Canis lupus familiaris: one gene and its partner. The protein of the gene in region 1 purifies or fractionates together with the protein of each later gene. This does not show direct contact. Links are inferred from orthologs where the notes say so. Each region holds a gene or a part of one and is shown on either strand. Other genes may lie near its edges.

Region 1 (4,090 bases):
CCTACAGATAAAAACCAGAGTGCCAGGATACGAGGAGATTCTTCCCTGTGTCATAAAACTGAAGGTGAAGTAATAAAACTGCAAGTGCTAAGGGAGACCTAAGTGGCTGGGTCCATTAAGCAGGTTAAGCATCAGACTCTTCTTTTCCCCTCTGGTCATAATCTCAGGGTTGTGGGATGGAGCCCCGGGTCCTGGTCCCTGCTGAGTGTGCAGTTGCTTGAGATTCTCTGCTCCTCCCCCTAACCCACCCTTTTTTGTGCTTGGGCTCTCTCAGAATCTTCACACACACACACACACACACACACACACACACACACACACAAAACCAAAAAAACACCTGCCAGGTGCTAAGAGGAGCTCTTGGGAGGCACTCACGTGGGCGCTGCTTCACCCCACCTGGAGTGCCGGTGCCATCTGCCCTCCTCCGCCTGGTCTCCCCGTCTGGATCTCTCAGTGAGTAGCAACATCCAAAGCGCTGCCCATCTTGTGTTTCCAAACGAGAAATGAGTTAACACAAGAATATGCCTCTTAACATTTCAACTGGAAAGTAGTCGAAATAACCTTGTGTAAAGATACAGATAGGCCATCCTGTGTGTTGAGGGCTGAGCAGAAGATGATAAAAATAGTCCCGGCAAGAATTCTCAGACACACGGGCAGCCCGGGTGGCTCCGCGGGTTCGCGCCGCCTGCAGCCCAGGGCGTGATCTTGGGGACCCCGGATCGAGTCCCGCGTCGGGCTCCCTGCAGGGGGCCTGCTTCTCCCTCTGCCTGTCTCTCTCTCTCTCTCTCTCTCTCTGTCTCATGAATAAATAAACCTTAAAAAAATTCTTAGACACAAATGGTGGATCAGTTGACAATGGCTGGAGAACCGGTGGGTGCCCGTAGGCCAGGGGATGGAAAACTCAACCTTGGAGCAAGACAAGGTCAAATGAAATTAGGCTAATTTTATCCTAACTTCTTTAGGGTGGTGATGGCTGAATCTAGAAAACAAACTCTGGAAAGACTGTGCTTATCACATTAGATAAGTCAGGTGTCTCTCTCGGGAGAACTGCTCACCCTCGAGTCCCCCGCGCCCCCCCCAGCAGCGGCCTTGACCCAAGGCCTGAGCCGGACCCCGGGCCAGGGAAGCTCCGGCCCCGCCCCGGCCCCGCCCCGGCCCCGCCCCCGCCCGGCCCCGGCCCCGCCCCCGCCCCGCCCCTTCGTCCCGCGGCCCAACGGTCGCTCCTCCGCGCCCGCCCCGCCCCTCCCAGGCCGCCCGTGGCGCGCCGGCGCCTGCGCAATCGCCTTCAAGCGCCCGGACCGGGATGGCGGCCGTTTTGGAGTCGCTGCTGCGGGAGGAGGTGTCGGTCGCAGCCGCCGTGCGGTGGATCGCGCGCAGCGCCCAGAGTTCGGAGGTAACAGCGCTCGCTCGCCCCAGGCCTGACCGAGTCCGCTCCCGCGGGAGGTCCCAGCCGTCCGGCCGCCTCCCCTCAGGAGCCTGCCTGGCTGTCAGCCCGGGCCGAGTGCGCCCAAGTCGGGGCCGCTGCCCGGGCCGCCCGCCTCCGCCCGCCTCCGCGCGCCTCCGCGCGCCCCGCGGCCCCCGCGGCCCCCGCGGCCCCCGCGGCTCGTGCTCCGGGCCGCCCGCTGACTCGCCGCTTCTCCCTCAGGATGACCCCGGGGAGGCGGCCGCGCTGCGCTCCCTGCGGCCCCTGCGGAAGGAATTCGTGCCGTTCCTGCTGAACTTCCTGAGGGAGCAGAGCAGCCGCGTCCTCCCGCAGGGCCCCCCGACCCCCGCCAAGGCCCCGGGCTCCTCGGCGGCTCTGCCAGGGAGGCCGGGGGGCCCGTCGCGGGGCGGCCGCGGGGCGCGCAGCCAGCTCTTCCCTCCGGCTGAGCCTTCGAGCGCCGCGGCCGCCGAGGCCCCGCCGGCCCGCCGCGGGGGCAGGAGGCGGGGCCCGGGGCCGGGCCGCGAGCGTGGGGGCCGCGGCCCCGGGGGCCTGGAGGAGGGGGTCGGCGGAGAGAGTCCGCCCTGGGCCGCGGGCCGCAGGCGCAGGAGCTCAGGCAGCCCCGGCAGCCCCGGGCGCGCGCGCTCGGACCCGCCGAACCTCAGCAACCTGGAGGAGTTCCCTCCCGTGGGCTCGCTCCCCCCCGGCCCTGCAGGGTGAGAAGCCGCCTCAGCGCGAGACTGGCCGGGGTTGGGGGCGGGACGACCACGCTAGCGAGACGGGAGCTTCGCCAGGGCCCCCGCCAGCCGTAGCGGTGGTGGACGGGGCCGCGGTGGAAGGTAGGAGTTTGAGAAAAGCCTGTGGCCACTCAGCAGGACGAAGCCTTCACGTAGGATCAACCCAACTCCGGTGAGCGAAGAGCGGTCACTCTCCAAGCCCAAGACCTGCTTCACCTCACCCCCAATCAGCTGTGTCCCCAGTTCCCAACCCTCAGTCCCGGACACTAGCCCTTGGGGCCATGGCCTTCCCCCAGGGTGCAGAAGTCTGCAAGAGGAGCGGGAGATGCTCAGGAAGGAGCGGTACGACCTTGCCACTCCCCGGGTTGGCAGCTCCCTCCCACTGGGGGATCTGCAGGGCTTTTCCCTGAGATCGGTTCGCCCCTGGGAGCCCTGGGTCTGGTTCCTGGCCTGTGGACGTCTGCTCTGGAGGAACCGGAGTGTGGCTGTGGAGGGGAAGCCGGGGAAGTGCTCATGACATCTCTCTGTCCCCATAGCTCGAAGCATCTGCAACAGTCACCTACTCCCGCCTGTCCCACCTCAGAATCGGGGTCTCCCCTCCCCAGCCGGACAGGAAACCTCACAGCTGAAGCCGCTGACCCTGCCAGAGTGTCGTCCCGCCAGCGCCTGGAGCTGATAGCCCTCATCTACTCTTCATGCATTGCCGGTAGGTGAGGGCAAAGGGCTGGAGTGGAGATGCTTGCAGAACTGCGGGGTAGGAGAAACGGTAAGGCATGCAGAACTGAGCCCTGTTTCCGAATGGTGCCTGACACCCTGGGATTTCTTTTTATGTCCAGAGAACTTGGTACCAAACCTCTTCTTGGAGCTTTTCTTCATCCTTCAACTCCTTACTGCTCGGAGGATGGTGGCCGCCAAGGACAGTGACCTCGAACCAACTCCAGGAGCACCAGGTCAGTGGGCAAGCCTCTTTTTGGGAAATGAGGTCTGGAGATAGAACAGTTCTTAACTGACAACTTGGTACTATCCTTCTAGATTCCCTGGAAAGCCCTCTGTTCCAGAGTGTCCATGATTGTGTCTTCTTTGCTGTGCAGGTTTTGGAGCATCAATTTCAGTGAGTTTCCCCAGCTGAAGCATTTAAGCCTTATTCCCATTGCCCACTCACTGCTCTGGCCCCTTGGGGTTAGTGCTTGTGTTTCACACAGGCGCGGGGACCCTGGGCCTCTTCCTGTATGTAGCCTCTAATTTTGTGTCAAGGCCATGAACTTAACTCTGGAGAGAATCAAATTGCCCCCTGTGGTCTTGGCATCTGCCCTATGGGCTTATGTCTAATGTTTCCCTGCTCTAGTTGGTCTCTGGCCTCCAGCATCTTACACGCTCAGCCCATGGCTTAGCCTTGCATACCTGTTCCATGCTCCAGATAACGTGTTCTATGATGTGCAGGTGCCCGCTTCCTATATGTGGCTCGTCCCAGTCTTAGTCCTATGTGCCTTCATCCCTGTACCCCTGTAGGGTTCTCTCCTACCTGGACAAGGGGACCTTGAAGCTGTTGGCTGAGAACGAGCGGCTGCTGTGCTTCTCACCGGCTCTGCAGGGCCGCCTCAAGGCTGCCTATGAGGGCAGTGTTGCCAAGGTAGGGACCTCATCTATCCAGGACCCGGCCTTTCCCAGCCTCATAATCCAGGCAGCCCCAGGGCATGCCACTCCAGTGTCACTGGGCTACGCGGGGGTGAAGTTTTCTGAGTATGACCTGTGAGGGTTTCCATCCCTAATGTCACTGCCATATTTTAGGTCTCTCTGGCGATGCCACCCTCTGCTCAAGCTGTCTCCTTTCAGCCAGAAACAGACAATCGTGCCAACTTCTCCAGTGACCGAGCCTTTCATACTTTTAAAAAACAGAGGTGATAAGAAAAGGGAACTTTTGGGAGGGAACAAG
Region 2 (3,067 bases), on another chromosome or scaffold:
CAGTTTGCTGCTCTGCCTAAACTTACACAATGTGCACCCTATCAGGCAGCTATCTGCACCCATGTTCCTAGGTCCACCAGTTTCCAGGAAGGAAGAGTCAGGGCACTTCTGTGAATTACAGGGAAATGGCTCACCAGCCAAACCAGTCTACTGGGCTGTATGGTTACAAAGTAAGGTTAAGTAAAATTTAATAAAAGTGTTGCTGCGTGTGTCCTTGGAGCATGATGTTAATTTCTTCCTGTGGGTCAAGGTCAAAGTCTAAAAAATCACTGGTTATGCTCAATCCAGAACAGCTGGGTTGCTTAACTTTTGACAAAGAAAAACCCCTCCCTGAACCTCAGGCTGGAGTACAATTATGTAACCAATTAAGACTAGGGTAAGAAGCTGAGCAAGGGAACAAAGGACGGTCAGCCCACTGGCTGGGGCCAGAGCCCCTTCACGACATCATGAAGAGAGATGGACAAATCTGCTTCAGCCCACCTAAGATAAAAGCAGAATCAGTCTAGAGGAAGTGCTTTTTATTTTTAGATCAACCAAACATATTTAATATAAAAACCTTTTAATATACAAACTGTAATCACAATTGCATCCACGTAGCAGCGAGGGAATGGGGTGTTGCAGGGAGCATGGCAAGGGGAGAGGTTTTCAGGGTCCCTATGGTTTCCTGTGCCTGCAAGAGCATGAGGTCTTCGCAGAGGGCAGATTAAGGCAGGCAGAGGGGCCCTGATGCCAGCATTGAGACAGACTCCACCAACCTGCCACCTTCCCACCATGGCAGCCTCCAGGGAAAGCCAGATCCAATTAAGAGAGGACAGGAAGGTGGTTGTACGGAGTCAACCATCATTCCTTAGCATCCTGCTGAGCATACCTTTGGGAACAGACTTTTCCAGAGGCTGTTGGATTAAAAGACCTAAAAACTATCCTAGGAGGACAGAAATTGTGTCCAAGTCCACCTTCTAACCAAGCTTGGTTCCTTGCCTGTGACTCCAAAAAGCTGGGTGGATTTGCTCAGATGTTTGGGGAGGGACAGGAATGACAGAGCCTTCGGCTCAACAGGCCTGGAGCCTTGCCAGGCGTTGACCAAGAAATCCTCAAGGCAAGCCAGGGAGGTCTGTGGGAAGAGCTCTGGGTCAATGGTACTCACAGGAGCATGGTGGCAGAAAGGCCTGCAGGTGGAATTTATAGTGTGTGTGTAAGACAGAAAAGACACATGTCACAAAGAATTAAAAAGTGAAGTACCTGCTTCTTACAGGCCTGGGCAGTAGAGGTAAAAGCTGATCCTTCTGGGTCAGTGTTGGGAGAGACCTGAGGCCTGCTCCTTCCTCAGAACCACGTCTGGCTTGGGTATAGCTGATGGCCCCAAAGTCCTCTAGATGGCCTCCGTGGGATTGTCCAGGAGGCCCAGCTGCCCTCTCCAGATGTGCTAGGAGACTGGCCACAGTCCCGGCTGGGCCCAGGTAGGGCCTGGATTCCTCGAGTTAGATGCAGTCCATGGAATTCTCGGGTAGGAGCCCAGGAATGCAACCTGGGAGACCCAAGCCTTTGATGGGAGCACAGCTGAAGGGGAGGCCACAGCCCAGGGTGGGGTCCTGGTTCTCTATGGCCTCTAGTCTGTCCATGTTGTCCCAGTTGATGTGGAAGCGGGTCACTCGGGGGTTTGAGGCCAAGATGTTCCTCTGGAGCTGGGGCAGAAAGAGGAATGTCAACCCTTGTCAGCATGCCCCGTCATTACTCCCACAGAGCCAGGGCACCCCAAGACCCTGCCCCAAGGCCAGGAAGAACAGAGCTTACTTATTCCATCACCATCAACAACTATGTGTAGAACTCCCGGGAGTGCCTATGTACTGTGATTTAGGGCTGAGACCTATCTAATCTCAATTCTGCCAGGCGTGCTTCTGAGAAACAAAGACCTTTCTCTCTCTGGTTCTGGTCTGGAGCTCCAAGATCTGAGCAGGGCTTGAAAACCTTAAGAAGTGACCTTGGCTCCCAATTCCAATGACTCAACTCCCCCAGGTGCCAAAGAGCCAGCCTGTCCGAGGCAGGAAGTGCAGAGACAGGCCCCACCTGAGAGAAGTCTGGCTTCAGGGGTGGGTTCTCCCGCAGCTCAGGATTGGGGTATTCATTGTTGACGTAGTAGCCCACACGGATGAACTCCTGTCCATGGTAGGTGCAGGTGATGAGGACCACGGTCACACCCACAGCATCAGTCTCTGGGATGAGGGATGGGTTGGGGGCATCAGCCTAGAGGAAACACACCCCGTGCCTTAGCATTGATCGTACAGCCACACCTCTACCACTTAACACAATGATTTTCAAGCAACACATATTTACTGAGCCAAAAGGTATGGTCTCTGACAACAGGAGTTTCTAATCGAGTGGGGAAGACACAATCAATCTTGCAAATGCCTGTAAAATGCTCAGTGTGACAAGTGCCACAAAGAAGTAAATGTAGTGCTGAGAAGTGTAGTGAGGGGGGGTGGAGGGGTGGCATAAGATAAGGCTGTACAAGTGGGCAGGTAGGGACCAGGGCGCCCAGGGTCTTTTGGGCCAGTTAAGGGCTTGGGAAGGAGCAAGAATGTCTAACAGGAGGTAAGTGCTGCATCACTCCTGTGGTCTGTAAAGAATGGCATGCTGTGATGGGAGGAGGGCAGTTGTGGGAGCAGAGACTGGGCAGGTTACAGTCAACCCAGAGTGCAGACAGCGATTTACACCAGGAAGGAGAGGACAGAGGCAGACACATTTGGGGTGTGTTGTTATGGATAGGACCCGCTATATAACTGGTACAAAATAAAACCAAAACGAGACATGGGGTCCCTTATTCACAAATTAGCAAGTTTTAGCCAGCGACAGCAGAACGTTATACCAGGTGCCGGGCCCTGTGTGGCTGCATGAGCTGAATGCTCAGGAAGCCAGCCTTGCTCGTGGAGTGGAGCAGGTGGGCTTGCTGGTGGCCTGGCTACAGGTGGGTGAGGCGTTTGGGGATGGGATGAGGTTGCCTGGACTGGGGTGGGAGCGGTAGACTGGGAGGTAGGCAAGGATTTGATTTTTATATATTTAAAAATAAATA

The links. The genes of interacting proteins can lie anywhere in the genome.
Region 2: the proteins of CDAN1 (region 1) and ASF1B purify together in Homo sapiens (co-immunoprecipitation; 5 studies listed by BioGRID and IntAct, counting the BioPlex papers as one, with this or other methods). This does not show direct contact. The link is inferred for Canis lupus familiaris from reciprocal best matches to the Homo sapiens genes CDAN1 and ASF1B.

Annotation. Positions count from the first base shown.
Region 1 is NC_049251.1:9,959,311-9,963,400, reverse strand, and holds the start of CDAN1 (codanin-1), read left to right. Parts: upstream 1-1,287; 5' UTR 1,288-1,303; coding exon 1,304-1,393; intron 1,394-1,645; coding exon 1,646-2,136; intron 2,137-2,292; coding exon 2,293-2,499; intron 2,500-2,693; coding exon 2,694-2,863; intron 2,864-2,993; coding exon 2,994-3,107; intron 3,108-3,189; coding exon 3,190-3,268; intron 3,269-3,666; coding exon 3,667-3,787; intron 3,788-3,945; coding exon 3,946-4,055; intron 4,056-4,090. UniProt on the Homo sapiens protein: May act as a negative regulator of ASF1 in chromatin assembly.
Region 2 is NC_049241.1:48,802,674-48,805,740, reverse strand, and holds the end of ASF1B (histone chaperone ASF1B), read right to left. Parts: intron 2,242-3,067; coding exon 2,065-2,241; intron 1,683-2,064; coding exon 1,479-1,682; 3' UTR 502-1,478; downstream 1-501. UniProt on the Homo sapiens protein: Histone chaperone that facilitates histone deposition and histone exchange and removal during nucleosome assembly and disassembly. Cooperates with chromatin assembly factor 1 (CAF-1) to promote replication-dependent chromatin assembly.